2 linked regions of the Arabidopsis thaliana genome follow. The protein of the gene in region 2 purifies or fractionates together with the protein of the main gene of each other region. This does not show direct contact. Each region holds a gene or a part of one and is shown on either strand. Other genes may lie near its edges. The genes, in order: AT4G10320 and ACLB-2.

Region 1 (17,257 bases), on a different chromosome or scaffold from region 2:
GATTCCGAAAATGGAAAGAAAGTTAAAAAGAGTGGACTCATCGTGTCACAACTTTCCTTTTTGACGATATGTATCTTTCTCATTTCAATCACCGAAAGGCAAAATCTACAACGTGATCCGATAAATTTCAACGTCCTTAACATCACTCTCGAAGTTATCAGGTATGTTTCTATATCTCAAGATTCTTTAACCAAAACCAAATAAAAAAATTGTTTCAGCAATATATAAATCTCTATATTACATATCATGCATCCATAATAACTAAAAATTTCAAAATATTTTCAAACAAAATACGTCATCTAGGTGATACATTATTCTACAATTTGACAACCCAAGTATTCGTAATTCACCTAACAAAAAAAGAGGACGTGAATAAAATCGTATAAGAAACATATATACAGTAAAATCTCTATAAATTAATAATGTTGGGACTGCAAAATTTTATTAATTTAGAGAGATTTTTTACTTATCGATAAATTAATAAATTAATAGAGAGATCTTCATAATTTAATAACTTTGAAAAAATTTCTCATTATAGAAAATATCTTTCTAAAATCAATTACAAGTAAAAAATAATATCATGTATAGAAAACAACACCAATATGTTTTGATATAGTAAAATATTAGAACTAAATTTCAAATAAGAATATATACAAATTTAAGCAAAAAAATATCAGAAATATATTTTTAAGAAATTTCTTACATATAATGTATATATATAGTTGATATATTTGTGCAATTATTAATTTCTGATATTGATGGACCATATATTTACATAGGACTTTCAAAAAAATTATTATCTAATTAATTTATCGATTTATGTCATTTTTTATACTACTCCCAACTCGGGACCGGAAGAATTTATTAATTTATAGAGGTTATTAATTTATCGAGTATAAATTTATAAAATAAAAAGAAACATATATATATATATAATATATATATATATATATAATTCACTCATTATGAATTGATTGTGAATTAGAAGTTAAGAATTATCAACAAAATAAGTTTTGTAATGGCAGTGCATATGGAAACGTTGGTTTCACTACCGGGTACAGCTGTGAACGGCGTGTGGACATCAGCGATGGTGGCTGCAAAGACGCGAGTTATGGGTTTGCAGGACGATGGAGTCCAATGGGAAAATTCGTACTAATAATAGTAATGTTTTATGGTAGGTTTAAGCAGTTCACAGCCAAATCTGGCCGCGCATGGATTCTTTACCCCTCGTCTTCCTAACATATTTCGATCATATATAAATGTTATATTAAAATTAGTCACTTTTAGCATTCCTTTTCTGTGAGTGATGTACAATAAGTTTGTATGTAGTTTGCATCATCGTTAATCCTCGTTAATATTATGATAATGTATGAAGATATAATATAAGGAGTATTGTGTGTCATCTTGTGTTTCCTGTTGTAACTTGTAATTCGAAAAATTAAACTTTATCTGTTTGATATGTATCGTACAAATAGTAACCAATCAGTAATATATATACAGGAAAGTTACTTAAAAACAAAAACCAAAAAAAACATAATGGAATTGAATAAAGAAATATATGTGATTGCTAATATGGGAGGAGGCAAAACACATCTCCACTCTCAGTTTGACACACATGTCTTCTTTTATACATGTTCAGATCCAGATATCATGTTTCGATGATGAAACTGCAAATCTCCTTCCATATGTTTCATCCACAACTCTCTCTCTTTTTTTTAGGTAAAGGAACCTTGTATTTCAAGTGCAGGATCCTAAAACTAGAAGCTTGTGCCACGGATCCTCTTTCATTTCGAAGAATCCGTGCATTGTTCATTACTTTTGTGTCGTGAATAAAAAGAATTGGCTGATGGCCGAGTCAAGTAAATGATCATGAACATATATATACCACAAACGTATCATGATCATCACATGTTTATCGTTTTTAGTTAAGATCTTATAGATAAGAAAAATAAGTTAGAAAATATTACGGAAATATATATGTGATGATGATGAACGTATGACCTTGATTCTGATCGATTAATATTGAAACTACACATGTTAGTAAGACCCTGATTCTCAAAACCGATCTAGCATAAATCCGCAAAAAAAAAAAAAAATGCTAACCAAAATCTAAAATATAGGTCTAATTAAGTTTATTACTTTATGTTTTTTAATCTTAATATCATATCTATTTTTTTAATTGCTTTATTTTCAAATTTGATTTGCTTATAAACAATTTCGAAATGTATGAAAACATAATTATAAAAATGAAGTTAAATGGCGTAAATTAAGTGCACGTAACTTTGGTGAAGGGTGGTAAAGGAAGCATGATTTGACAATGGGTCTCTTCCATGAACGAATATGATCAGATTTTTTTTTTGTCACTTGACTAACACATCTCTGATCTCTCTAGACATAGTTTCTAAGATTTAATGTTACCTTCAATGCTTTTAACGAAAATCTGGATCCTTTAAAGGTAGGATATCAAATGGGTTGTCCATGCCCAAATGAGCAATGTCTAAATTAGACGAAACCTAAAAAGAACCATAATAGATTGGACAGTCCATGAATCCAAATAATACATGATATCATGAACACATTTATTCAAAACTCCATACTTAAGTCTTAAGTGTTTCACACAATGATATAATTTCAATACTTCATAAGTTTAATATTAAAAATATAAGTACAATACTTCATAAGTGTAATATTAAAAACTATGGGCTGCCCATGTCGCTTGTCCAAAAGCTGACCATAATTAAATGGACATAGGCATCAGGAATCCCATGGTTTTAAGACCCAAATGACAACCGAAACATTAATCAAATTTTGTTAAGGTAATTTCAGATTTTAACAAGATTCTTGCCTTCTCTGTACTAAAATCAATGTTCAACTTTGGTCACTGGACTCAATCACATATCTGTCCAACCATAAATTTTGAGATGAATAAAAGTTTAGTATTGTACAAATAGAACGAGTAAAAGAGAGTCTCAACACTGAGATTTAACTTTTTGCAACAATCTAAATAAGTAGTTTATAGGTAAGATATGGAAGAAGAAAAATAAGGGAAATAAATCCCAAGTTACCACAATAAATCAAACAAAACCGGAGGGACGGCTCATGCGTTCCTCTTGCTCAATAAGTCATCGCCGACACTCAAATGGAGATGTTCGCCAAGAACCACAGTCGCAACAGGCACATTTTCAATGCAGCTTACAGTTATCTGCCATACAAGATACATTAAAATGATAAAGTAAACGATTTGGGTTAACAAAAGCTTAACTAACGAACCTTCCCATCTCCGGCTTGGAACTCTGACTTCAAATTCGAATGATCCCTTGATAACAAGTATGTTTGAAGCCCGGTTGCAGATTTCACATCTCCTGGAACCATAAATATACACGTTAAACAGAAAGCGAGAGAGAATTGACAGTGAGAATCTATTGTGATGAGATGGTGACTCACCTGAGTATAAAGCAAGAACAGCCTCTTCATTGAACTTCAAAGCCGGTCTAGCCAAACTTATCTTATACGACAACTTTGGAACCTTTTTGACACTCTCATCGGATGTTTCTTTTGGGGTGAATGTCTCATCGGCTATTATGACCTGTTACATAAAAGATAGGAGGATAAACATTAAGCTTCTGCCGTGCAAATAAATAAGCAGATATGGGAGTGTTGATGACTTACTGCATGTGATGGCATTAAACTAGACAAAAGTAAAGTGGAGCCAATTGAATCCTTGATGTTTTGTTCCTGTTCAACAAACAACAGTGATGAGACAGAATTAAGGCATGTGGTTGAAGACATTCATGTTGGAAACATAAATTTTCGTTTGATCCATAGCTGAACAAATAATTACGTACAAGCAATGAAACATTCGTAAATTTCAAGTAGAATTTAAGTTCAGATGAATTGAGTAACAAACAAAAACTAGTTACCTGAGAGACTAGAACTTGTTTAGAAACAGATTCATCCTCGTCCAATGATTGGAAGTACACTTCCACAAAGTCTGTTGGTTCCAGACCTGACTTTTTCCTTAGTTTCTGGATCCTGTTTACAATCTTTAACACAGGGAAACTAAGCTCATAAGCACAACATCGCTTTATATGCAAATAAAATATTAAGATACTGAAGAAGAACCCCACAGAAGATATACAAGTTATAAGAAAATGTATTGCTTTGGTTTCATCTAGGACTAGTACACTATTAGAGAAGTTATATATCTTTACCTCACGGGCAAAACCTGCTTCAACCAAAGAATCATCTGCTCGTAGATCCAGAATCACCAAAACATCACCTGCATCATGAAAGAAAGCAAGTATTATATGTGTATCCTACCAACAGAGAAGTGATAATTAATTACGCTTCTTACCATCTCCAGCTGAATCAATCTCATTCTCTTTCAAATCGTCTGGGCGTTTGAAAACCCTAACAATCTGAACAACACATGAAAGATATGTGTCAGAATTTAGCTATTAACAACATACTCTTAACGCTATCTCACAGGAAAACATCATAGCATGAGAGACCTTGATATCTGTTTCCTTTAGCAAGTGGTTAGCAATAGTAACTTCCCCAGCCTCCTCAAATGCTAAGATATCTTTTTGAGACATTTCTTTAACTTCCTTTGCAACAAGCCCCATCGACTTTCCAAGTCGCTTTCCCAATACACTGCAGGAATGAACATGTAAAATTTCACTCTACATCCCTTTGGAAAGGCTAAAGCACATTGAGCTCAGCGGTTTAAAGAAAAACACAGACAGAAAACTTAACCAACCTGAAATCTGGTTCTGCTTTTAGTGATGCATACTTCAGAGTATCATTGCATGGTACAAGCGATCTCACGTTAAGTTCTTCCAAGACATACTGCAATGCAAAATTAAACAGGATAAATCCACATAGCTATCATTGGCTGATATCAAATGGTTCTCAATAATCTCAAAAAGTTTCATATTTATAATATTAGTTAAAACTTCAAGAAGATAAACTACTGTTCCTGTAACACCACAGACCTCTCTTAGTACTCCAGTTATGTCATTTAAGAAATCAGCATCGGGATGGACTACAATCATTTCCCTGATACAACAAGGATAAGCATGTGTGAATTTTTTTTCATGTTTTAGGTTAACAAAGCAGAAACTGAAAACGATCAAGTACCAACACTCACTTTAGAGGAGTTTTCAAGGGTAGTTTGTTACGCTCACGAATGTTCCGAGCAAGATCAATGATTTTCATCATCCTCGTAACACTTAACTCAATCCTCTCCCCTTCCTATTCAAACACAGAAAGAAAATATAAGCAGGCAAAATTCAGATTACTTTTATTCTCTTATTGGATATAGAGACGTGGACTTGAGTCTTACCATTCCTTCCCTTGGTGGAATACTGCAGTAGTGAACACTTTCCTCAGAACCTTTACACGCTTTCCGCAGATTCTGGTACAAAGTTTCAGTGAAGAAAGGTGTAAACGGGGCCATCACTTTGCAAGAAGTAAGGAGCACCTGAAAATAGACAATAATTAGATATAACAAGTGTTCAAATCATGGTGACCACAAACAATATATCTCTGCAACTATTTTTAGTATACATTGAATAGAGTCGAAAGAGCAGTGTGACAATCATCTTCCCCCGTACGGCCTTTTAATCTCTTGCGGTTGAATCTGACATATATGTTAGTGAGATTGTCGAGGAACTTCAAGAGACGAGGAACCACCTAAACAAGAAAAACAAAAACCAAGATGTAATAAATACCAGGAGACAGTGATGGCGGTTTTCTAATGCGAACACCATATCATGCTGAAAATAACATGTAAAAACCTTACAGTGTAAAGCCGATAGGCATCCATCTCCTCGCGGACAAAACGAACAAGACTCTGCGTAGCTGAGTGAATCCACTGATCAAGAATGTTTGCTGACTGTATAGTTGCCAGATCAGTAGGAACAAAGGGCACACCACCTTCAGTCTCAAGTCTCTTTGCATTCTGAACGAGGAACCGATATGCATTGTACCATGGAAGGAATACATCTTTGACCTAGTGAATCCCAATGCAGGACCAGAAAAAAATTCAGACAACAACCACGAATAAACAGCAATAAAGCAGCAATAAATTCAACCACCAAAATCACTCACAACACCGAGTACTCCTTCTTTTTTGAAGCGTAGTGGCTCAGCACGTACAACCGGAGAATTTATCAGGTACAATCGCACAGCATCCTATCAAGGTTCATGTAAAGTCACTAAGTTATTACGTACACACACTGCCAAGATTTTCTTAGCTAGAGAACATTTGAAAAAGCTCAAAACGCAGCACAAGAGCATATTATAGGGAAAACTTACAGCCCCATACTCATCTATGACTTCCAAAGGTGGTGGATAATTCCGTAATTTCTTAGCCATCTTTTTCCCATCCTCAGCAAGTACAAGACCATTGCAAATCAGATTTTTAAACGCTGGTTTTTCAAATAATGCAGTAGACAACACCATAAGAGTATAAAACCTGTAGATACCCAGCGACAAGTTTAGTAACTATTTATTTTCTACTTAGGAAAAAAATATTGTTTATTATGCCCGTTTCAAAACACTTCTAGAATCACATTTCATAGTAAATTGATCACACCTTCCTTTAGCATCGACTCATAACTTAATTAAGTGCAATCATTGAGGTAACTAAGATCCAGATATCATAAAGTAGAGGGACGGAACAAACCCAGAGATAAGCAAGAAATAATTTGTCAGAAGAGCTTATAGGATATATCAATGTAGAAATCCACTCTTGAAAAAATATGAGAACTGAAATGATATGGGTTTTTTGCAACTATCTTGGGTTGACATGATAAACACTAACTAAGATTTGCAATACTACAAGGTAAAAGGTTTATTTCCATTCTCAAAGACCTTAATAAAAAGCAACCTTTTTTCATCACGTAACCACCAAAATATCAATCCAATAATTTTAAATGCTAAAGCTTAACTAATATTTCTCCCCACAGTCAAGATATGGAATGACATACCATCCACGAGTCTGATCAAGACCTTCAGCCACAAAATCACCAGGAAAGTTCTTCTCAAATAACTCCTTGTTTTCAAACGGATAATGGATATACGCGTAAGGCATTGACCCACTCTCAAACCAACAATCAAAAACCTGTAAAAGCGTATATAAACTTAAGCTTGGGATAAGACCCCGGATAAGTGATAAATGAAAGAAATTGGTTCATCTTACATCTTCTACACGACGGAGCACACCAAACTCATCGCCACGACTAGATGGAATTGTAATATGATCAATATGGTGACGATGCAGGTCAAAGACCTGTACCATAAATCATCAGAGAAACAAATGAGTATTAGACTTTTTGACAACTACATTCTCCAGTACTAAATAAAGACCAAACCCTCATAGAGTGTCATAAAGTTGACAGAACATATAAGGAAGACTTCTAGAAAAATTTATCCAACAGTTGAGTAGTAGCAAATGGTTGCATATAAAGGTACCGAGATCATGACAGTAGACTTTCCCAAAGCATCAGTGAGCTATTTGCTGATATAAAGAGAGATGTAAATAAAACAAAAGAAGAGACCTTAACACCAGAGAGCTTTTCAAGCTTCTCTACGGAATCCATGATCACAACTTCCTCCCCATCATCACTTATCCATATCGGAAGAGGCGTGCCCCAAAATCTACTTCGGCTGATTGCCCAATCCCTTGCATTTTCGAGCCAATTGTGAAAACGTTTATCCTGAATTGCACATTAATCAAAAAAATGTATTCATATCAGAAACTTAACAAAACGAACTAGTAATATATACTCAGAGTACTGATCCTTTCTTCTACCGACCTTCACATAACCAGGTACCCATTCTGTCTGTTCATTGCTTTTTAACAACTTTTCTTTCAACTGCTCCACACGCACAAACCTAACAGGTCAAAACACAAAAAAAAACTTTAAAGTCATAACCACACCTGAAAAACGACAGAATAAAGTTCATAAGTTATGACCATAACTACGTGCCATTTAGGTCAGATGCTACATATGAAATCTAAAATAAATAAATGAAAACATGGGAAATCAAAATATCCTAAACAGTTTGGTGATTATTCTGCAAAAAAAATACACAAAGATACCTAATACAGCTCCGAAAAGGGGCTGCCAGATATAATCATAAGAGCCAAAGTTCAAGGCAAGGACAAGAGAGACCGTCTCACTGGAACTAGCACTAAATGATCCAACTACTAAGACCTTAGCTCAAACTCATATGAAAATGAAGCATACCAACTTGGAACTGCTCTATATATGAGTGGGGTGTCTGATCGCCAGCAAAATGGGTATGAGTGAGTAAAGCTTCCCGTTTTAACAAGCCTGCCCTTGGCCTGAAATAATAAAAATAATATTACTTCATGAAACAAATCACCTACAGTAAAGAAATCCAATGGTCCAAAAAGCACTTAGATTCTCTAAGAAACAGATAAATCATTATGATCTGAACTGACTAATTATCAAGCATCGGTAATCACCTTAACGGCTTCAATTATATCCTTGTCTGCATCTTTGACATAACGGCCACTGAAGTGGGTAATTCTCTCAGTAAACAACCCATCATCATCAACAGCAACAACTAGATTCTCCCCCTGCAACATATATAGAACATTTAACACAATGAGATAAAGCAAGATTATTAGAGTAAACTGAGAATGGGTTCTTGAAGATACTGTAAGCCTAAACAAGAGAGAAACAACAAATGAGCAAAGTTCATGCCTGATGTTAGCAAGGGTGATAAGGAAGATGTAGTCAAACCTAACCTTTTTGATTATTTTGTTCAAAAGACAAACACGATAATCATCTTCACCAAAGGCAGGAGCACAGTGGACAATACCAGTACCACTGTCATCAGTGACATAATCATCTGCTACTACTCGAAAGGCCTCACTTGAGAAATCACTAAAGTAATCAAACAAAGGTTCATACTTCTTCCCAACCAGGGAAGCTCCATTAAATTTCTCCAAAACTTCATAAGAATCAGCTGCACTCTCAGGTTTAGCACCTTTAGCTTTAGGATTTGCTTTCTTAGTATCACCAGCAGGTCCATTACTTAACTTGGCCTTAGGCTTATCAGTGGGAAGAGCAGACAACCGAGATTCAGCAACAATGTACACTTTTCCAGTGTTCTTGTTACGAACCTTCACATAGACAAACTTCGCATTTACACACAAAGCAAGATTGCTTGGAAGAGTCCACGGAGTAGTAGTCCATGCCACAAAAGCAGCATTATCTTGATCCCCAATAACCGGAAAAGTCACCATGATTTCAGGATCAGGGACTTCCTGTACATACACACATTCTACCAATATCAGAGATCAAACTATACAACACAAATCAATCACCTGAAGAACACAATAACAACAACATTACCTTATAGTTCTGACCAGCTTCAAAATTAGATAAAGGTGTCTTACAACCAGTACTGTACGGCATAACCTGCAAACCAGAATTGACCCAAATACAAAAATCACGATCCACGAAACTTCAAAACCACATCAATGCAGGAAGAAGAATGCCAAACAAACCTTGAATCCTCTGTAAACAAGATTCTTCTCCCAAAGCTGAGAAAAAACCCACCAAACACTTTCCATAAAAGGCAAATCCATAGTCTTATAATCATTCTTAAAATCAATCCAACGACCACACCTAGTAATAACCTTCTCCCACTCAGCAACATAACGAGTCACAATACTCCTACACTCTTCATTATACTTATCAATTCCCATCTTAATAACTTCATCTCTCCTCTTAATATTCAATTTCCGATCAATCTCATTCTCAACAGGTAAGCCATGACAATCCCACCCAAACCGACGAGTGACATGGTGACCAGTCATGGTCTGATACCGAGTCACAATATCTTTAATCGTACCAGCGAGGATATGTCCGTAGTGAGGAAGTCCGGTGGCAAAAGGAGGTCCGTCGTAGAAGATGTACTCAGGAAGATTCTCAGTGCGTTTGAGCTGTGTCTTGAAAGCATCGATTTCAGTCCAGAAGGAGAGGACATCTTCTTCTTGACGAGGGAATGAGAATTCTTTTCCTTCGCATACTTCTTCCATGGTGGAAACGGAAGAATCAATCACTGACGAAAATTAGGGTTTCTGCAGAGTTTTTGTTCGGCGCAGATGATATCAAAGTCCCCGGCGTTGAAGATGAAGTTTTGGTGCGTTTTTGTTTATTAATGGGCCGTAGTAAGCCCATTAACTTGTTTGTTTTCTTTTTGGGTCAAACTTCCACTTATTGGTATTAAAAAATCGATTTAAGGAAGAAGGAAAATATTTTGACTATTATGAAACTGTCAAATGGTGGTTGATATACTGAACCAGATGAATTAGATGAATAATGATGAAAATATTAGATGAATAAACTGTTAAATGATGATCAATAAGATAGTAGTTTAATATTGATTAATATACATACTTTAATATAATAAGAAATGTACTAAAATCTAAAATCCAAGGCCAAATACAAAACAAATTGACGCTTTTCTAAAATAAAAACTGATTTATTTTTCCTAATTATGAGACATTGATAATTTTTATTTATTAATTTTTGGACATTTTTTGTCAATTATGGAACTTTTTACTAATTATAAGGTATTTTTGTTAATTATGGGGCATTTTTGTTAATTTTGGGGTAGTTTTGCTAATTTCGAGGCTTAAACAAAACAAAAATATCTGCAAATGGGTCGCAAAAATTTAAGACCCAATACAAATGTTTCATAATAATTGGTGAAAGTTGGACCTAAGTTTATATGAAATCATGTGGTCTAGAACTTATACTAGAATATATTTCAACATTAGTCCACAACATCAATCTGAATATAAGGGTGAGTTTCAAACTTTTCTTTAGGCATATATTATGTTCACATCAGATAAAAATTACATTGAGTGGCTCGTGAATACACTCAACAGAGTTTTTTTTAACATTAAAACATGCATAGAATTTTTTCAAATAATTTTCTCGTACAAAATATGCAACAAATAATGATAAACATATTTTTAAATGCAAAATAGTTTTATATAAAATGAAAAGAATTATTACTTGCGATAGAATCTATAAGCCTTAATCTTTTATCATTGTGCTTATAATTTTGTCCAATCAAATTTCTCAACCTTTATTGGTTTATTATAGACTCATTGCGATCGAGTAATTTTTACTTATTCTAGTTTTTCTTATAAATAAATCATTAATTATTGCTATGTGATATATTTTCTTTCAAAATATTTTATGAATCAATAATTTTAGTGGTTAAAAAACTATGTGAAAGTGAAAATAAAAACACATGTAGTTGGCTTTATGCATTCATATAATCATTTTATACGTGGTGGGAATGAGAATACTTCAACAAGAAAATATGATTGTGAGTAAACACATTTTTAGTGGTAAAGTAGACGATAGATTTGTAAATAGATGTAAATTAGATGATGATTTGACTAGTAATTTCCATGTATAATATTTTTCGAATAAGGAAAAAACGAATATATAAATAAACAATTCTCAAAATAAAATATTATATATTTATTTTCTACTTACAATAAGATTTTAATATATCTTTTTGTTAAATTTATTTTAGTTTTAAAAATTAAACATGCATATTGGATGGAGTTTAATCTAGTTGAATCTAAAATTTAATAGTTTTACGAAAGATTTGTTATTAATTTTAGTTTTGAAATTGAGAATAAAACTAATGAGGCATCAATCCATTAAATATATGTAAGAACAAATCTTCATATATTATATAATATGTTTGGCAAATATATATAAAGTAACTGAAAACAAAGTGAAAATTTGAGAATAATTGTGGGTTTTTTAGTTTTATGTATTAAAAAAAATGTTGTTAATGAAAATCCATATTATTATGATATAAAACAAATTCATTATGAATATAAACATAACAGATATCTTCTATAAAATTCATTATGATATAAAACAAAAGATTAAAATAAAATAAACATAACAAATATCGCTTGTGAAATGAGATCTATATGACTATTGGGCTGAAGTTGGGCCTTGAGAAATAAGAGTGCGCCTTATAATATAGGCCCATTTAAAGTATGTATTGGCGAATCCACGCCGAAAGAGAGAGCGAAAGGGACGATGAGCAACAGAAGAAGAACCGGAGACGATGACAAAGGATTGCTCTGGAAACTTCCCCAAGTTAGGATCAGAGACATTGGAAAAGTTGGTCCAGCTTTTGGACTCGGTGTCGGTTGCGGATTTGGTTTCGGCGCCGGTCTTATCGGAGGTAAATTTCTAATTTCTCCCAATTTTGATCGCAGACTCGCGAATCGCTCGAAGCTATTTATAGATAGTTTTGGTTTAAGAGAGTAGAGATTGGTTTGATGAAAACAGGTGTAGGATTCGGACCAGGAGTTCCTGGATTACAATTTGGTCTTGGATTTGGAGCTGGTTGTGGAATTGGTGTAGGTTTTGGCTATGGTGTTGGAAGAGGAGCTGCTTATGATCACTCTCGTTCTTATTACAACGTTGGAAAACCATCTCTGTGAGTATTTGTCTGCAATTAGATTTTTAGTGATTAAGGATTTGAAGAAGAAGATGATGATTTTGACTTTGGTGATTTGTTGACAGGAATGAAGTTGATTCACTGATTGATGAACTTGTTGTTAGCACGAAGAAGCTTGTGAAAGCTACTACAAATGAAATCGACAAGTGGTTAAAATGATGAACTTTTAGGATTTGTTGCAGCTTCCAAGTAAATGGTAGTGTTTGGTTTGTTCTTAGATCAATAATGTAGATTTGGGGCTAGTGATAATCTCCTTTCTTTTTGTACAATTTTACGTATGGTATAAAGATGGATTCGCATAATTTAGGTGGCTGATTTATCATTCTGGTAATGTGTATGGTTTGAGTGCTGATTTTTGGTGCTATGAGTTGTTCTTTATGGCTCAACTTGGATCAATATGGAGGTTGAGTTTGAGATTTTCTCTCAGTTTAAGGAGGTAGAATAGTGCGTATAGTGGCACAGTGAGCTCAGCTCTAGGGCCAAAGGGCATAAATTCATTATAGCTCTTTCGATTCTACCGTAGTACTGTGTGTGAACCGGCACTGTGAACCAAGATGATTAAATTTTCGTATTCTCTATGTACATGATCCTGCGGCTCAATCGCTTCAGTTTCGATCCACATGATGTATATGTTATAGAATTGTGGGAAACTCCTTGTAGAAAGAGTATGTTCACGTCTAGGACTAGTCGGATGATTCGTTTCTCTTTTTGGTGTAATGAGTATGTTCATAACTGTTGATACAATGTGAAAATCTAACCGTTGAGCTTGGGAGTTTTACGTCTATATGAAAATTCCGGTTGTCGTCTACATTACGGTAGTAAACAGGACCACAGTGATTCCAAATGTCCCAAGGAATTTACTGAAAACCCCAACTAGGACTGTGAAAGGCTTGTGGATGACATTTAACAGTTGAGATTTTCATGTGTTTGAGATTCTTGTAACACATTTTGCTGTATAGGTGAAAGCTTAGCCACACAAAAGGAGAAACAGAGGATATGGATAAAATAAATTATCCAACAAAAACCAATCTAAAAGCCACATCAGCATCCACAACCAATCAGAGGACAGAATCATATTTCACATTTTCAATCCAGACCAATCAAAATCCTGAACGAATCCTACTCTCCACCTTATAGGAGCAGTTTCGTCTCTTCCTCCTTCTTTCACTTAGCTCTTCCTAGTGTTAAACCAGAGTAAAGCTTGAAACTTTGGACTAAAAGAATGGCGTCTTTGGGTGTGTCGGAAATGCTTGGTACTCCCCTTAACTTCAGGGCAGTTTCAAGATCGTCTGCTCCGTTGGCATCAAGCCCATCCACGTTCAAGACTGTTGCTCTCTTCTCTAAGAAAAAGCCAGCTCCTGCTAAGTCCAAGGCTGTCTCTGAGACTAGCGATGAGCTCGCCAAGTGGTATGGTATGTGTCTTCTAAATCCCTTTTATAATCATTTCTTGCTCTGTTTCTTTGTGAATGTGTTTGTAATTGTGACTCTTATGCAGGTCCTGACAGGAGAATTTTCTTGCCTGATGGTCTTTTGGATAGATCAGAGATCCCAGAGTACTTAAACGGTGAAGTTGCTGGAGAGTAAGACACTTTTTCATGTCTCTCTTTGTATGTATGCCTACTTTTGGATTCTGTGCTTAAGGTTTATTGGTCTGAATCTGAATTTGCAGTTATGGTTATGACCCATTTGGTCTTGGAAAGAAGCCTGAGAACTTTGCTAAGTAAGTAGATTCTTTTATCCTAAACCTTTTGTGTTTGCTTTGAGCTATATCTATCGAATTTGTCATTAAGATTGGTTCTTTAATGAATGTGGTTGTAGATACCAAGCTTTTGAATTGATCCATGCGAGATGGGCTATGTTAGGAGCAGCTGGTTTCATCATTCCTGAAGCTTTAAACAAATATGGCGCTAACTGTGGCCCTGAAGCTGTCTGGTTTAAGGTTCTTGCCTACGTCTAATCTTTATTTACATTCAGACTTAGATTCTTTAGCAAAGCAAGAATGTGTTGATGTGATGAGATGGTTCTTTTTGGAATACTGATTGCAGACTGGTGCTTTGCTTCTTGATGGAAACACATTGAACTACTTTGGCAAGAACATCCCTATCAACCTTGTTCTCGCCGTAGTTGCTGAGGTTGTTCTCCTCGGTGGAGCCGAGTACTACAGAATCACCAACGGATTGGTACATTACTCTCTAGTCTCTACATTTAGCTATTACTCATGGGAAAATGACTAAACTTGAAATGCAAATATTTGGTAGGATTTCGAGGACAAGCTACACCCAGGAGGTCCATTTGATCCTCTAGGCCTTGCTAAGGACCCTGAGCAAGGAGCTCTTCTCAAAGTCAAAGAGATCAAGAACGGGAGATTAGCCATGTTTGCGATGCTCGGTTTCTTTATCCAAGCGTATGTTACCGGAGAAGGTCCTGTTGAGAACCTTGCAAAGCATCTCAGTGATCCTTTTGGAAACAACTTGCTTACCGTCATCGCTGGAACTGCCGAGAGAGCTCCCACTCTCTAAGCCATTTCTACTTTTTTTAAGAGCTTCCAAAATGTACACTTTGTTCGATTGGAACTCCTTTTGACAATGTTAAAAAAACTTCCATCTGAATCTTCTTGATATATTTCAAATTTTCAATGGTGCTTTATCATGCTTCTAAGGATATACATAGTCACCCATTGGTTTAATATTTGTTGTTACCAAGAACGCTCTGTCACAATTTAGTCATACATTGCGATTTTATCACTAGTGGCGAGTATGGTAAAAAGTTTCACAACTAATATTGTGATGGAATTTGGGACTATATAAGTTAGTCGAGAGATGTGATCCGTTGAACAATATTAAGTAGCAGAAGATCAAATAGCAATGAGCAGTAGCAGAATATTTTCACAACTAATTAATCATTCTTACATTGTAAAGAACTAGTATTACTCACTCTCAACAATTGCATGTCTCATACAGTAATACCGATGTGTCATAAAAATGTGAATTTTGCTTCGATTGCAAAACACAAATTAGTGTTTTCACTCTGTGAGCTTTGAAGTTGCAGAAATCACAACCCCAATTGGATTCTAAACTCTAGCTAGGCATGTACATTTGCTTCGATTCAAAATAAGAATGTTTTCACTGTCAGATCAAAGGTTCAATAAGTGATAACCATTTTAAGCAAATCAAGCATTTATATTGCTTGATATTTTGTCACATCTAACCAACATTTAACAATTACATTTACTTTTAACAAGTAGGTCGTCTCTACTTCCGACCACCGTCGGGATTAGAACTCGTCCTCTGGTGTAGTCGTCAGATTCCATGATCTATGTTTTTGTAAGGCCTCAGCCCGAGGCCCATTAAAGGGGTTTTGATTATTAATATTAGTATTATTTAAAAAAAAAAAAAATTAAATCTAAATCTGAACTCATCTTTATAAACCCAAACCCTCGTTTAATTTGTAAAACTAACACATCAAGTGTTGGAACTCGCGGTCCTACATCAAGAGTATGGAAGCTGACGTGACGAAACTAGAGACATGATATGTAACATGTAAAAGACGACGTGGGAGCTAATTTTGCGTAGAGTTTGAAGATACGAGTTATTGTAGAGATTCACTAAATATTCTCTACAACAACTTAAGGAAAATATAACATTGATGTGCAAGGTTTATCCATTCGTGGAGATTTACGATTTTCTTAGGATTAGGGTTTTCATGTTGTGTACATATAGTCTAGAGAGGCCATGAGTCGTCGCTAACACTCTAGACTATTACTATAGCAGTGAGATTTGTAAACTTCAAAGCTAAAGTAGACACCTAGATTTACAGACATAACTTCATCCTCATTTAGTAGAACTGCAACTTAATTGCTCTACAAATTTCCGGTTCGCAATATTCGGGGAATTAAAGATTTTTTTTACCAATATAAGCACTTGACATAAACCTCGGAGTAGAGAATAATTAACCTTCCAATCGATCAGTTTCATACACATGGCAATTTAAGTCACTCTTATGCATCCAATTCTCTATAGTTCTTGCAAAACCAAACGACAAAATTTTGTGGAATATGCAAAATCCAAAGCAAAATAAGGCATGAAAACAACGATCAAAATTGAAAATTGAAGTGTTTTAAAGAATGATCGTGCTCAAGTTCTTCACTTTGCAAACTCATTAACATTTACGGATATATATCTCTAGAAACAAAAAATACAAAGAATTATAAATCTATAATTCGAAACGACAAAGAGTAATATAATAAAGGCAATATATAGTTACATGTAGGACACAAACGGCGTGGAAGCGATGACTTGTGGCCAATGAGCATGAGATATGGACAAAAACGGAGGTGGTCAGAGAGATTAAAACAGAGAAAGTGTTAGGGAATTGACATGGCCCTAGAAGATTTTAGGGTTTGACTATATATAAGTGAAGGTGAAATTTACAAAACCTAAGAAGTGAAAGTGTAGATACAGATTCTAGAACAGCTTGTTGTTCGATTAGGAGCTGCAGCAGGCATCAAGAGTCTGTAAGCTGCGTGGATGCAAAATCTGACGTGACAAACTATAGAGGATGATATGACATGTCAAGGACACATGAGCTGACTTGGCGTAGTGTTTGAAGATGCGAGTTGTATTAGAGATTCACTAAATATTATCTACGACAAACTTAAGGAAAATATAACATTAATGAGCAAGGTTAATACATTTGTGGAAATTTACGA
Region 2 (15,661 bases):
TTTTTTTTTGGTAAAAAGTTAAATTTTATACCATTTTAAGATTTTTGACAGAAGTTACAGAAAATACAAGAACGGATTAAAGCACACTACAGAAAATTAAAAACAACATTACTACTCAAAAAACTTCGGATTGCAGCTGAGTAATTATGACTAAGTTGCGAAGGGAAACACCGATTTCAAGTCCGCGAAACTTGGAAATTTGCGTGATTGCCACAATACCGAAGTATTGGAATCCTCATCGTTGTTGCCACGAGCTCAACTATCTGAGATCCGTCCACAAACCTCGAGATAGGTGCCTACAGATTCTCAAAGAACTAACGCAAAAACGTAAAGACAACCGCGGACTTCTACACTAACTCGTTGAGTTAGTGATGCCACTTAGACCTATCCGCCGCCTCTATTCAACCCTCGGTGAACATAGCCATAACACCCAAAGGCTCACCTTCACCAAATGAACCAACACCGACAACACCATGAACAACAAAACTCCACCTGAAAGCAAACCAGAGATGAAGCAAAAGGGACGAAACCCAATGGACACAGAGAATCCATACCCATGGCCGAAGAGGCTACCACCCTCAACTGCCCACCAATGGAGGAGAGACGTCGACCACCAAACAAAACCCACAACGCCACTAACCACCACGAACAATCCACAAGAGCCAAACGACTCCTTGGATTGCCTCCACAAGAGAAGCCCGTCGGATCAATCACACCATCACCAGAGCTGGAGAAAAAACAGGTAGAGAGACCCGAGAAGAGAAGATCTGCCACACCGAAAACTCACCGTTGTGCCCAAATCAAAGAAGAACGACGATGTCTGAAGAAACATGGCGATGCACCACCAATTTATCAGATCTGGAAGATGGTCCCGTCGATAGGAGCCGCACAACCGCTACAGTCGTCTCATCAAAGCCACTGCCTTAAACGGAGAGAGACACGCCGCACGTCCTTTGCTCCGTGCGTGACCACTCGCCGCATACCACCAACAAGAGACGAAGAGCAAGCCAGATTTGAACACCACCGGAGCTTCAAAGGAGAGGCAGAGGAGATAAGAGAGAGGAAAGGAGAAGAGGGAGAAGCCCTCTCCGGCCACCGGTGAGAAGCACCGTGACCGGAGAGGCACAGATCTAGATTTGGTTTTGGTTTACTGTAGCGTCGTTCTCGCTTAATCAATCGCCGCGCGTGATCTTCTTTAAATACTTGAGTGTATATATGTTCCGCGTTAAGCAAACTTCTCACTCTGTTTATCAGATGTCATCCATAGAAATTGTCTAACAAATTGGATGATGTAATCATCATCATCATCATCATCATGAATCGTGATAACTACGAGAATATACTAATTGTCGGATCAGCAATTATCTATATTGAACCCATTAAAAGATTATAAATGTCTGTATACAAAGAAGTCGAAGACGATAAATCATATATATATATTCTGTACACATAGGTATTTGCTATAACGTTAGAAGGATTATAAAATTCTATATTTGAAACACTTGATTGACTTTCTAGAGCACACACAAAACTACTGTTAAAACAAAGAAAACAAAAATAAGAATGCAAACTTTCTTAATACGATAAACAGGAGCAAATGTTTTTATTTGTTAAACTTGATTTAGTTCACGTTCTTAGATAAATGTGTTAGAATTTGAGAAGTTTTATTTCTGTTTTGTACTTGTCTTCTTAAAATTAGATATAGGGTTCAAAAAAAAAACTTGCATGTTTATTCTATCATTTAGTTTATACACATACATTTTAAACTATAAATTAGGATTCTAATATGACAACAACACTTTTAAAACAAACCACTAAGTTTCAACCACAATTTGGAACTAATAATTAAAAAAATAATTAAGAAAGTTGATAGAGAAATATCAATGGCAAAAAAAAGAGAAACTACAACACTCCCTAAAACCCAAAACATTAAATTTCAATATATCATGTATATGATTACAAATTTAACAAATTTCATAAAAAAAACAAAGAAATATGTAACCAGTAGTTTAAACAATAATGGTGGTAATAGTCAATTGGTTAAACCTATTTAACTCCACATTTTCTACTGGAGTTTGACTTTATTAAATCACGTTATTTGGATAATAGTTAGGGATTATCTATAGATCAGATCTTATTAATGAAAATATGTCAAACAAAAATAATAATAAATTTGTTATCTAAATAAAACTTTTAATATACTTTACCACGTTATAAACACTTAAAATAAAATAACAATTAACAGCAATTTACATGTAGATTTCTGCATTAGTTTTTTCATTTTTTTCTAGTTTGTTCAAAACCTCAAATATCAAGATTGACTCAGACCCGAACAAAAGGTCCGTAGAACCTAAACAAATTTCTAAAACTAGCCAACCAATGAAGTGCATCTACTTTTTTTTTATGAAAAATAATTATATTGAAGTATTTTATTTATCTGATAAATAAATAATGATATATAGTTTATCGGTGAGCAGATAAGGATCGTGTATTTTCAAGTATTATATTAATTAATAAATTATCGCCCATCTTCTATTGTTTTGTATTTTCATTTGAAAAGAAAGCAGGGCTGGCTTATCAATATATACAGTCTCTTTCTTTTAGTTTACTAAAATCATTTCAGATAAGACCCACACAAAAGTAATATCAAATGGAATTTTGCTTTCAACATGGATAATTTTCTTTAATAATAAAATTGTCAACCATGTTAAGCGTAATCTCTAAATCCCCAAAATTAAAAACACTAAAAATAGTCGGTCATTGCTCCACGTTTAACCTGTCCAATTCCAAAAGAACTTCGTGTTTCATTGACGATATAGTTTACGTACGTATGATTCTTTCTAAATGAGGTATTTTTGTCCCATTAGCAATTTAAAATTTAAAATGGTTGTGTAACTTTTTGAAATGCTTAGTAGTTAAAACCGAACTAAGAAGAAATAATGATCGGAACGTGTTTATGTCAGCTAATGCATTACCCACTGACATTAACTGATCCAGTTTACTGATTTTAGACAATCATACTCTATTTTTACTGGAGTTGCAGAAAAAGGGACTTACAAAACGATGAATTAAATTTGGACAAGTATATATACATAATTAGAAGGTTATAGAATCTAGTTTTCGTAGGATATTTCTTGAATTATCCTACGAGTGTGACAACTAAATGCACAACAAAACAACAATTTAAATGCTAAAAAGCAAAAATAGTAATTACTGGTCACCTATTAAGGAACAACACCAACACCTATTTAGCTGTTATGTCCTAATAAAAATAAAATAAAATAAAAACAATAAACCAAAAAAGTAAAAAATAAAAATGTTTGACTAAAATTCTCTTTCTTTTCCGATTCGTCATTCGATGAATCTTCCTTTCTTATACAATTTGGATAATCTTTTCTAATGTAAAAATTCGAGATTTTTTTTTATAATGTTAAATCTATAAATAAGAGCAACCTAAAACGAACAACTTCTCCCACTTTCCTTATTTTCGATCTTATCCTTATCTTCTTCCTTGTTCTATTTCTCTTCTAACTAATCTCTTCTCTTCTCTTAAAATCAAACGTAATCATAAATAAAGATCTTCTTGTTTAATTTCTCTTGATCCTCGCAAAATCACAGATTCTTGAAATTCTTTTTTCTTGTCTTGAAATTCTTGAGTTCTTGAGTTATGAAAAGACAATGGACAGAGTTATGAAATGATAAATCTCAACCAATTCCTTGTTTATCATTCTATATCAGTTGTGATTCTTCATTGGTTTTACGTTATCTCTTGAACAAAAAAACATGGCAAACGCAGAGAAGACAAGTTCAGGTTCCGACATAGATGAGAAGAAAAGAAAACGCAAGTTATCAAACCGCGAATCTGCAAGGAGGTCGCGTTTGAAGAAACAGAAGTTAATGGAAGACACGATTCATGAGATCTCCAGTCTTGAACGACGAATCAAAGAGAACAGTGAGAGATGTCGAGCTGTAAAACAGAGGCTTGACTCGGTCGAAACGGAGAACGCGGGTCTTAGATCGGAGAAGATTTGGCTCTCGAGTTACGTTAGCGATTTAGAGAATATGATTGCTACGACGAGTTTAACGCTGACGCAGAGTGGTGGTGGCGATTGTGTCGACGATCAGAACGCAAACGCGGGAATAGCGGTTGGAGATTGTAGACGTACACCGTGGAAATTGAGTTGTGGTTCTCTACAACCAATGGCGTCCTTTAAGACATGAGATTTGTGTATTAGTGTGTGTTTTACTTTGGTCATTTTATAGTTTTTGTAATCTTTTTATATCGAATTGTTTCTTCTCATTACTTTCTGAATTCTGATACAATTGCATATCTTATTGTTTTCAACATTTTCATTTAACGTTATATGATTTTCGGTGGTTAACCCGAAAGAAAAAAAAAAAGTTTTTTTGGTACCTTGCATGTAAATGGCAGAACTGATGAAGTAATCAAAATTGAAGCAAAAAGTGGGGAAGTAGTATATGTTCTGGTCATAATTGAGTATTACCGATAAAAATTGCTTTGGTAACACGATAACAATTTTTTGTGTCAAATTTTTCAATTTTATGAATAATTCAAAATAATATAGGGCTTGAATGGTATGTGTCTTATTTGCATGTTCATGTGTTTCAAAACGTGATTTTGCCGAGTGTATACCATTCACAATAATAACCACGGAGTGATAAACCGTGAAAATTAATAAGCTATTTTCCAATCTATTTCGCATGTGTTAAATGTATAACTAACTAGTTTAGACAAAGTCATTTATTAAGTAGCTTTTTGGCGTGTTAAGTTTATTCCGTTTTGAATTTTGTCGTCCTGGTGATTCCGCTATTGTATTGTTCAGTTATTCAACTAATGTACCAGTCAAGTCTTTACCCCTTAGTTTAGAGTTTTCTCGTTTTGATGGGTTTGATTGGTATGTGAGATGGATAGCTGAACAATAGAATAACTAAATAATGGTTAGCTGAATGAAATGAACTAAAGAAAGTTTATGTAGAATGATTATAAATTGCTAAAAAAAACTAGTTATTGTAGATTAATCACGTTTCTTAGTTATAATTTTTAATACGCTAGTGCTATATAATGGAATCATTTTTTTAAACATGAAAACGTTAAAACTTGATAAAATTTTGAAAGGTAAAAATAGCGGAATCACGTTTTAAAAACGTGACCACGTGAACTGGTATACGGTAAACCATTCAAGCCCATAGATTAATGAAAATGTGATAATTATAAGATTTTTCTATCTTTTTCAACATGGAGTATTCTAAACGCGTAGGAGTTTAATTGATTTTAAGTGATTTATTTGTCTATAAATGTTATATATATATTCGATGTATAGAACAATAGATGAACTATCATAAACCATAAAATTCAATGATTTCAAATATGATCGAGGTGATTTTTTAGCTCTAGTGATATGTCTATCAATTTCAAGAAAAATCGCCTCCTTAAACTGAAACAATTCGTAGAGCATATCCGTTCTTTGTAGGAGTATGAAATATGCAACCACAAGTCCACAGCAATGGTCAGGAATGAAATATGCGACCACAAGTCCACAGCAATGGTCAGGAAACCTCACAACGGCATAAGTTTATCTTCCCGATAATTCTTTTCGCTCAGAAAATAGACCATATGACAAGTCACAAAACAAAAAGTCCGTAAGACATAGTCTTAGTATGATAACGTTCTAGATCAAGCAAGAGAAAGTGACATAAGTATGCATATATTCGTGTAGAGCTCATCTATATATGCACAATAAATCTTTATCACTTTACTTCAATATATACGAACATAAGTTTTATTGCACAATTGATTAACCACTTTCACTTCCATAAGAAAGTATAAGCCAAAAAAAGAGTCCTCCTCTCTTTCTATCATTCTCTCCAAGTATTCATTAGTCATGTTTCTTTACATTTATTTATGTTTGTGATTAGGAAGAAATTATAACACGTTCTAACTTTTAAAATACTTCAAAAACACATTAAACAATGTTTTGATGAATGCGTGATTCACAATCTTCAAAAAATATTGCTGAATCTTGAAGACAAAACAGCCTATTCATTAACACCACCAGCAAGGACGACATGTTAACGACCAAAATTGCAATAAAATAAAACAAAAGATGTTACAAAAACAAATTTGTAATAAAAAAAAACTGTTAGGTGTTTCTCTTTGTCAATGTAAGATAGAGAAATCAATTTTGGGTAGAAAGAAGTTGTGAACTAACTACCTACCAATAAGCCACATGACTGTGAGAAGCTTTTGTTTCCCTCCCATTTCTCTATATTAATGGTGCTTCCTCTCTAAACCATTCCTCTCTCTTTCTCTCTACCACCATTTATTCTCTCCTTAATCACTGACTCGACTCGGGTCGTGACCAGGTCTGTTCTCTTCTAACAATTCGTAACTTTTTTTCTTAGATCTGTCTTGATTCCGATTCGTGTTTTTGATACCAAAGTTTCGATATTTACGAGGAGGGTTGCGTAAAAATCGGAACTTTTTTTCTTTCTCAATCCCAGATTCGTTAATGGAGTAATGAGATCTGTTTGTTAGTGATTATCGAATTAGTGTAATGTTGCCTAATTTCGAATTCGACATTGAGATAGGAACAATTTATAGCTTGTGGATCTGATCATTGTCTCTCTTTTGTTTGTTGTGATTCTCAGTTTTTTCTATCTGAGCTATGGCAACGGGACAGCTTTTTTCTCGTACCACACAAGCTTTGTTCTACAACTATAAGCAGCTTCCTGTTCAACGAATGCTCGATTTCGACTTTCTCTGTGGTAACATAACAATTTACATTGTCTAGTTTTCAGTTGGTTTGGATCAAGTTTTGATGTTAAAGATGATTTGCTTTTACAGGACGTGAAACGCCTTCTGTTGCTGGAATCATAAATCCTGGTTCTGAAGGTTTTCAAAAGCTCTTTTTCGGGCAGGAGGAAATCGCTATCCCTGTTCATGCCGCGTAAGTTTTGAGAATGTCATGTGAGTTCTTGAGAGGAACTAACTATGTGAAAATTTTGTTTTAACTTGTTTTCTGTTATACAGCATTGAGGCAGCTTGTGCTGCGCATCCAACAGCGGATGTATTCATCAACTTTGCATCTTTTAGGAGGTTTGTTATGAGAATTTCATGGAATAAACTTAGCATTGCCTCTTTGTGATAGTTTTGTTGATGTTTTCATTCTTTCTTCTGTTTTATAGTGCTGCTGCTTCATCCATGGCTGCTTTGAAGCAGCCGACTATTAAAGTTGTGGCAATTATAGCTGAAGGTGTTCCAGAATCAGACACTAAGCAGCTGATTGCGTATGCTCGTGCAAACAATAAGGTGTGTTTTGTGTGATGATTAGCTTCAGTTAACCGTATGGTGAACTTAATTTGTGAGACTGATTGAATTGGTTCAGGTTGTTATTGGACCGGCTACTGTTGGAGGTATTCAAGCTGGAGCCTTTAAGATTGGTGATACTGCAGGAACAATTGATAACATTATCCAGTGCAAGCTATACAGACCTGGATCTGTTGGTTTTGTCTCCAAATCTGTATGTGCTGATTTTGCAAAATTTCATAATCTGCCTAAAGCTCACTTTGATGTCTGAGAGTTTTATTCGTTACTCTTCTTTTCCCGCAGGGTGGAATGTCTAATGAAATGTACAATACTGTTGCCCGTGTGACTGATGGGATCTACGAAGGTGAGTTTTAATGTAAGATAATCTACTAATGACGTATTAAGCTGAAGATTGTTAACACTGTTTTATATTTGGGGGATTGTTATAGGCATTGCTATTGGTGGAGACGTGTTCCCAGGATCGACTTTATCTGACCACATCCTTCGGTTTAACAACATCCCACAGGTATATACCAATCTTCAATTGTTTAACCTGCTGCTCGCTGGAACGCGCCTCTGGTGGTGGAGTTTTGATGTTACAAATTGAACTTATATTCACTCTTTCAATTCATTATGCCTTAATTCAAGAGCTATGTTGCAGATAAAAATGATGGTTGTACTTGGAGAGCTTGGAGGAAGAGATGAATACTCTCTTGTTGAAGCTTTGAAAGAGGGAAAAGTCAATAAACCTGTGGTTGCTTGGGTCAGTGGAACTTGTGCACGACTCTTCAAGTCTGAAGTACAGTTTGGTCATGCAGTAAGTGGCGCGGAAGAACTTTCAAAGCAATGCCTTTTTTTTATCTCTTGTACAAATCAAAATAGTTCTTGAACATGTTATATATGAATAGGGTGCCAAAAGTGGCGGCGAGATGGAGTCTGCACAAGCCAAGAATCAAGCTCTCATAGATGCTGGAGCTATTGTTCCCACTTCATTTGAAGCTCTAGAATCTGCAATCAAAGAGACTTTTGAGAAACTGGTTAGTTTTCCCGTGTTATTCGCTAGCTGGCATTGACTTCTGTTGCAATCTTATGTGTTCTTTTCAATTACTCTTAAAAGGTTGAAGAAGGAAAGGTCTCTCCTATCAAGGAAGTCATTCCTCCACAAATCCCTGAGGATCTCAATTCTGCAATTAAGAGTGGGAAAGTCCGGGCTCCTACTCACATCATCTCCACCATATCTGATGACAGAGGTATTGTTATGGACACTAAACCATATTCTAAGGAGTTGAAACACAGAGAAATTGGCAAATGAGTTACACAGAACATAGATTCATATGCCTCTTTAAGCCCATTTTCTGACACTAAACTACAAAATTTGTCTTCTCATATTAATCTGCAGGGGAGGAACCATGCTATGCTGGTGTTCCAATGTCTTCCATCATCGAACAAGGCTATGGAGTGGGTGATGTCATTTCCCTTCTATGGTTCAAACGTAGTCTACCTCGTTACTGTACAAAATTCATTGAGGTATCAGTTTCTCTCTTTGCCTTTTTAACCTATTCTTTCTCACTACATACATACTGTTACGTAGTGAAATTTGACTCTGGTCTGCAACTTTTGATAATTCTTCTGAATTAGATATGCATAATGCTGTGTGCTGATCACGGTCCATGCGTCTCCGGCGCTCACAACACCATTGTAACAGCAAGAGCAGGCAAAGACCTCGTCTCAAGTCTTGTCTCAGGTCAGTCAACATTTTTTTTCCCCCACAAAACACATAAGTTCTCTTTACCGTCCAACAATCTCTAAGAATGTTAAACCATAAAACAGGTTTATTGACCATTGGTCCCCGATTTGGTGGTGCCATTGATGACGCTGCTCGATACTTCAAAGACGCGTGTGACAGGGTAAAAGGCTATATCATTTTCCCCAATATAAATTTCTGAATCTGAATTGTAATTGGTATTAATAACATTGGTTGCTTGTTTCAGAATCTCACACCTTATGAATTTGTTGAGGGAATGAAGAAAAAGGGAATCCGAGTCCCCGGGATTGGACACAGGTAGAAAACAGAACATTGTACCAAAGAAACAGGCAAATCCACACAGCTTGTCTTGTCTGAAAACTGTTTTCTTCTTTATGGTAGGATCAAGAGCAGAGACAACAGAGACAAAAGAGTGGAGCTTCTTCAGAAATTTGCTCGGTCCAACTTCCCATCAGTGAAGTACATGGAGTACGCAGTGACAGTGGAGACATACACGCTCTCAAAGGCAAACAACCTCGTACTCAACGTTGATGGAGCCATTGGATCTCTCTTCTTGGACCTTCTAGCTGGAAGTGGGATGTTCACTAAACAAGAGATTGACGAGATTGTTCAGATCGGTTATCTCAACGGTCTGTTTGTTCTTGCTCGCTCCATCGGTTTGATCGGGCACACGTTTGATCAGAAGAGATTGAAGCAGCCACTGTATCGTCACCCATGGGAAGATGTGTTGTACACCAAGTAAAACTCATTTCAATCCTATTTTTGTTATTATTCCAATTAATTAGCCTTTTAAAATTCTTCTGAGAGATGTTTACTTAAAAAATGCATATCTATATGCTCTTCTTCTGTCTCTTTTGTTGTCATGTATGTTTGTTCACTTCTTCTTCTTTTTTCAATTATTTAAACTTTCTTTGTCTCTCTTTCTCTGTTACATCCAAATCACCATTTTTTGGGATTCTATGAGTCATGCTCATGCATGTCTATATCTTAATCGTGATTTGTCCTTCGAAATGTTGGTGATCTACCAAGTACAACTACCAAATTGTAGTCCAACCATATCAAAGCAAATATATATCTATATTACCAACTCATAGAATCTATAACCTCTCCTCTGTTTATGGATATAGATGCGTCGACGACGTTCTTTATTTCATCATTAAACAATATGTGATGTTTTGTATTCTGATTTTTCAAGTGATTAGGTTTTTATTTTGCATGTCCAAACTCTTTTTTTGTTAAATTCATGTCTAAACTTATATGAATAAAACAAAACTTCCCACCTATTCCTTCATTAGGTTAAGAATTCGGTTAAGTTTCTATTTTCAGACACGTAATTTGTTTGGTGCCATACTTCTTTTTTTACCAACTACTCTAATATCTTATATGAGGAAAACATATATGTATATATATATATATATATGGTCAAATATCTATATAGATATAGATATATATTTGGTCAGTAACTTAAATATCTTAGATGAGCTAGGGATCTTGTTGTCCACTCGCTACAGAAATTAATTTTGATTAGGATGGGTGTCGAACTGTCGAATCTTCTAAGTATCCGTGACTTGATTTTTAAAAGTTTGGTTATAAATGAATGTATACATGTAGATTTTACAATGACATTATTGCGAGTTTTAATACATGTAACAAGAATGGTCACTGGATTATCCATTTCAAACTTCTTATTTTTTGATTACCTCCACAAAAGAATAATGATGAGATGGAGAAAAACAAGAGAGAGGGGGAAAGAGTTGACATTTGGAGCCAATAAGAGCTTGGACGCACGCGATCACAAGATTTAATTAAATTATTAAGTGTATTCTTAATTAAGCACCTTCATTTCAGTGATGACGACGTTAATTTGCATATTATCAAAGCTATATCGATGGAGAACTAATATTTTTCATTACAAACAACGAAAAATTTACATATATATCAAAGCTAAATCGTTGGGGAACTAATATCTTCATTAGAAACAACGAAAAATTTGCATACTAAAGCTATATCGATTGAAACATATATCTTCAAGGATTATTTTCTTGAGAAGATAGAACATGTCCATCTTCAAAACAAAACCCTGTATTATCATGTACCCGTTTAGATTATTTTGTTTTCAGTACCCGTTTTGTCAAATATGTGTATATAATTCATTTTACTTTGTAACTATATTAATGTAGGAGACTTGGAATTATTTCTGTAAAAAAAAATTTTAGTAAGAGCATGCATGTATCTACTTTATCTTGAAAGTCAAAATTTTCTATTATAAAAAACTTGTTTATTATCGTCAATTCTTCAAAATAGCATACTTCTCAAAAACGGAAGTGATAATTGGAAATAACTCAAGAGAAAAAAAAACGTAAGTAATGAAATAACTCATTGGTGATTCCCGTCTCTGATTTGATCCAGACTTTACTCTCTTCCTCCACGTTAGCTCCAAAGGTGATACTGGACTTGTTAAAATTGATTCTTTGCCTTGTAGCATTACTGTAAATCTTGAAGATATTCTTAATCACAGCCACCTCATTTCTATCCGCTTTACACATAAATAGACTGTCATCTGCGAATAGAAGGTGATGGATAGCTGGTCCATTTGGAGAGAACCTGATACTACTGATGAGGCATTGACATTCAGCCCGATTCATAAGGTGAGTGAGATCTTCTGAGCACAAGACGAACAGAAACGGTGAAAGAATATCTAATTGATTAGAAGTGAGAAGGAGACCGAAGTGATCATAAACATGATCCATTGCACCCATTTCTGATGGAATCTCAGCGCCTCTAGCAAAGCTTTAACATAATTCCACTCCACTTTGTCAAAAGCTTTTGACATGTCTGATTTGATGGCTATGAACTCTTTTGACACAGTTCGATGAGTATGCAACCCGTGAACAACCTCATGAGCTATGAGAATGTTATCTGAAATCAACCTATCAGTCACAAAGGCGGATTGATTAGGAGAAACCAGATCAGAGAGAAAGGGTTGGAGACGTCTAACCATAATCATTGAGATGATCTTGTACAGAACTGAACACAAACTTATAGGTCTCAAATCAGACATCTTGACAGGATTTTTCTTTTTTGGCAGCAAACATAACTGAGTGAAGTTCCATTCTTTAGGAAAGGTACCTTGAAGAAAGAAACTCTGCACCTCCAAAATAACTTGAGATCCTATGATACTCCAATATTTCTGGAAGAAAAAACCAGTAAAACCATCAGCTCCCGGAGCACTAGAGCTTCTTATCCCAAAAACTGCCTCTCTCACTTCATTCTTAGAGACTGAAGCTGTAAGCACTGTATTCATTCCATCAGTGACCCGAGAAGGATAATCTGCAAAAAGATCCTCAAAGCTGCGAGGGTCCGAAGATGTGAACAGTTCTTTAAAATAAGCTTCAGCAATAATCCCTTTTGTCGCCTCATCTTTGTGGAGATTGCCATTAACATCACATAGCTGATTAATATTCTGCTTCCCTCTGTTGTCTTTTACAGAAGCGTGGAAGAAAGAGGTATTCTTGTCACCACTATGCATCCACTTTGCTCTGCTTTTTTGACTCCAAAAGGTTTCTTCATCTTGATTTGCTTTACAGAGATCATTTTTGAGAGTCCAAACCACCTCAGTACTCGGGAAAGCAGAGGACTGTTCCACCTTAAGCGCAGCTCTAGCCTGAGTAATTCTTGTCAAAGAGTTGGAGTTGTTCTCCCTTTTCCACCTACTCAAGGCTGACCGACAATTCTTCAGTTTCTCCAGCACTAAAGGCCTATTCTGACTATGAATCCCATTCCAAGCTTGAGAAATGACTTCTTTCACATTCGGTTGGTTGAAAAGTCTTTTATCAAACCTGAAATTTCCCCTATACTCCTCCGTGATCTTAAACAGTCTAACAAGAACTGGCCGATGGTCAGAACCTCTCTTATCCAAAAATTCTTGAAAAGAAGCTGGAAAAGTCCTGAACCAATTCTTGTTACCAAAACAACGGTCTAGACGACTTTGAATCCACATGTCACTTCTCTTACCACCCCACGTAAAGGGATTACCTTTACTTGACAGCTCCAGCATTTCACAACTCTCCAACATATCTTTGAAGGGTAAGAAAGCAGAATCTCCCCTTCTAGGACCACCTCTCTTCTCTCCATTATGCAGAATGGCATTGAAGTCCCCTAGCATACACAAAAGTTTTTAAACAAAAGTTTTCACTACCTTTTCTCTCTCTAAAAGCTCTCTTTTCTCTCTAAAAGTAAATCTAGATCTCAGTTTGCGTTGGTTGGCTCCGGTGGCTTCCATAGCGCCGGAGCTATGCCTCTCTTGCTCTCCTGTAAACTTTATGGTTCTTTTGTTTGGTTTATGTGCGTTTTAGTGTAGTGATTTAAGGTGGTTCTTAGATGGCTCATGTTGTTTTTGTGGGTTGGTCGTCTCTGTTGCTTGTAGCGCCTCTTGATCCGATTTGGTTTAACCTTCTTCTCGTTTAGCCTATTACCAGGTATGGTGGTTGCTTTCGCTTCTGTCCGGTTCGATCTCCTACCGTTTATCTTCTTCGGTGTGGTTCAGATTGATTTGGTTCTCTCCTTGTCTCTACTCTAAAGATCTTATCGAGATCTCATATGTTCATTGGCTGGTTTCCTTTGAGGCGCTAAACAATCATATTCTTTGATTTTGCCGCTCCGGGAGTGTAGGTGTGACTTGTCGTCTTTGGCCTAGTTCTTCTCGCCGGTATGGATTCCTTGGAACTCTTCTATGTAAGGTAGTCTTCATCGTAATAGGTGGCACCGCTGTCCGTTTGGTTGGGAGTTCCTTATCCCCTACGGAGTGGCTTGATGTAAAGCTCTGCCTTTCCTTTGTCTGGTAATGTGGTTGACGAGATATTGTGTTTAAACATTGGGTTGTTTTGGTTGCTTCTTTGTTTCAGTTTTAAAATTTTTTCTTTGTATGTAAGGTTTGTTTTGCCTTGTTTGCTTCCCTTTCCTTTAGGCTTTGTTTCCGAGATTATCTTTTAATCGTCGGCTTATATTTCTAGGGTTAGTTGTTAATCGCCGGCTTTGTAATTTATCGAAATCTCTATAATAAATTTTCAGACGATAAAAAAAAAAAACAAGAAAATAAATAAATAAATAACATGAACGACAAAAAAAGTTTCACATCGATGATGATTTTGTACTGTAGTTTTGTACGGTCATAATAGAAACAAACAAAGAAGTCCAACCAATGGGAGACTTTAAATTTGAGAGCTTGCCAAAAAAAGATAACTTTTTTTTTCTTGAGTAATTAATGGAAATGGGTTGCATGCAAAATTAATTGCGTGGGGTCTTGTATTTAAGGATAGCTCCTTAAAGTATATCACTACACTAAATCACATATGAGATTTCTAATTTATTGAGCGTAATATGTGTTTGGAGTTATTTTTAATTCGATTAGAGAATTTTGTTAGTCTCCTAGTAGTATAAAATACATTTTTTTTAATAAATAGTTTGTTGAAATTTTTGTGTTTGTTTATCACCATTTTTTACAATTTATCTTCTTTATAAATATTTTAATAATTTATTATACTGAATTATCTAAAAATTAAGGCATTATTTTGGGTCAAAATATAGGCTGCCTAAATGACTAAAATAAAGCAATTTATATTTCCATCTTATCTGTTTTTTAAAAATTTATTTATAAAGTCTTCACTTTTTCTTTTTTAATGGTCTTTCAGAGGAAAAAAACCAAAAAATAAAAAATTGCTTATACCAAACAAGCAGCCAAACTTAAGTAATTTGAAACAAACCATTTATCACACCACTAATCCAAAACACTTTTGTTTGAAATTAGAAAAAATCTAGATTATTTAGTTACATAATCTCCCCACTATAATAAACAACTTTAATCGTTATTCATGAATTAGGAAGAAGAAAAAGAAAAACTCTATAAGAAGCAAAAAACAGAAATTGAAAAATTAAAGAAAAAAGTAAGGACAAACTGAGAAACCTAAAACCAGAAAAAAAGGAATCAAAACAAAGAAAGATAAGCAAATTAGTTTTCCTTCTTTGTTGACTCTCTCCAGATTCTGTTTCTTCTTCCTTAATCCATCTCTCAAGCTTCTCCACCATTTTCACCTTGATTCAGCTTCTCCGATTCAAACTCAGATTTGATCTCCGTTGATTTGATTTGACTGCGTTTTTCTGGCAATGGAGAAGACGACTCCACCAGCGGAGGAGCTTCTAAAGAAGATACGAGAGTTAGAAGAAAGCCAAGAGCATCTAAAACGAGAGATGTCGAGACTTAAAGTATCGGCGGAGATGAAGCAGCGTTCGCATTCAGCATCGCCGCAACGTCCTGTGAGGAGAAACAGTAACGACGGAACTCCGATGTGGAGAAAAACCGGTGCGGCTTCGTTTCGTCACGCTTCTCCGTTGCGTAAGGAGAGCCATGCGAAAGTTGCCGGCGGCGGAGGCGAGGGGCAATCGGCAGGCAAGTTCACCGATAAACAGTATTTGAATATTTTGCAGTCTATGGCTCAAGCTGTTCATGTCTTCGATCTAAATGGCCAAATTATCTTTTGGTGAGTACTAGTTAGAACATTTCTGGGATTGTG

Evidence for each region.
Region 1: the proteins of ACLB-2 (region 2) and AT4G10320 fractionate together in Arabidopsis thaliana (co-fractionation; one large-scale study listed by BioGRID). This does not show direct contact.

The regions. Positions count from the first base shown.
Region 1 is NC_003075.7:6,394,429-6,411,685, forward strand, and holds AT4G10320 (tRNA synthetase class I (I, L, M and V) family protein), read right to left. Parts: upstream 10,245-17,257; 5' UTR 10,082-10,244; coding exon 9,548-10,081; intron 9,459-9,547; coding exon 9,393-9,458; intron 9,305-9,392; coding exon 8,783-9,304; intron 8,612-8,782; coding exon 8,498-8,611; intron 8,354-8,497; coding exon 8,256-8,353; intron 7,900-8,255; coding exon 7,821-7,899; intron 7,722-7,820; coding exon 7,563-7,721; intron 7,295-7,562; coding exon 7,205-7,294; intron 7,127-7,204; coding exon 6,993-7,126; intron 6,479-6,992; coding exon 6,319-6,478; intron 6,196-6,318; coding exon 6,112-6,195; intron 6,014-6,111; coding exon 5,804-6,013; intron 5,695-5,803; coding exon 5,569-5,694; intron 5,483-5,568; coding exon 5,345-5,482; intron 5,254-5,344; coding exon 5,150-5,253; intron 5,059-5,149; coding exon 4,995-5,058; intron 4,849-4,994; coding exon 4,760-4,848; intron 4,654-4,759; coding exon 4,512-4,653; intron 4,419-4,511; coding exon 4,355-4,418; intron 4,280-4,354; and 13 more. Other genes in the region: HKT1 (high-affinity K+ transporter 1), read left to right, coding at 1-161, 1,026-1,239; AT4G10330 (glycine-rich protein), read left to right, coding at 12,123-12,270, 12,378-12,528, 12,615-12,708; LHCB5 (light harvesting complex of photosystem II 5), read left to right, coding at 13,772-13,961, 14,045-14,129, 14,219-14,269, 14,368-14,488, 14,595-14,729, 14,808-15,068.
Region 2 is NC_003076.8:20,048,362-20,064,022, forward strand, and holds ACLB-2 (ATP citrate lyase subunit B 2), read left to right. Parts: upstream 1-6,139; 5' UTR 6,140-6,384; exon of another isoform or gene 6,385-6,572; intron 6,573-6,669; 5' UTR 6,670-6,686; coding exon 6,687-6,786; intron 6,787-6,865; coding exon 6,866-6,968; intron 6,969-7,051; coding exon 7,052-7,117; intron 7,118-7,206; coding exon 7,207-7,330; intron 7,331-7,406; coding exon 7,407-7,541; intron 7,542-7,630; coding exon 7,631-7,691; intron 7,692-7,776; coding exon 7,777-7,853; intron 7,854-7,988; coding exon 7,989-8,144; intron 8,145-8,235; coding exon 8,236-8,364; intron 8,365-8,444; coding exon 8,445-8,577; intron 8,578-8,726; coding exon 8,727-8,854; intron 8,855-8,965; coding exon 8,966-9,071; intron 9,072-9,157; coding exon 9,158-9,234; intron 9,235-9,318; coding exon 9,319-9,389; intron 9,390-9,473; coding exon 9,474-9,834; 3' UTR 9,835-10,194; downstream 10,195-15,661. Other genes in the region: AT5G49440 (uncharacterized protein), read left to right, coding at 557-1,102; bZIP1 (basic leucine-zipper 1), read left to right, coding at 3,784-4,221; AT5G49470 (PAS domain-containing protein tyrosine kinase family protein), read left to right, coding at 15,255-15,628. UniProt on the Arabidopsis thaliana protein: ATP citrate-lyase is the primary enzyme responsible for the synthesis of cytosolic acetyl-CoA, used for the elongation of fatty acids and biosynthesis of isoprenoids, flavonoids and malonated derivatives.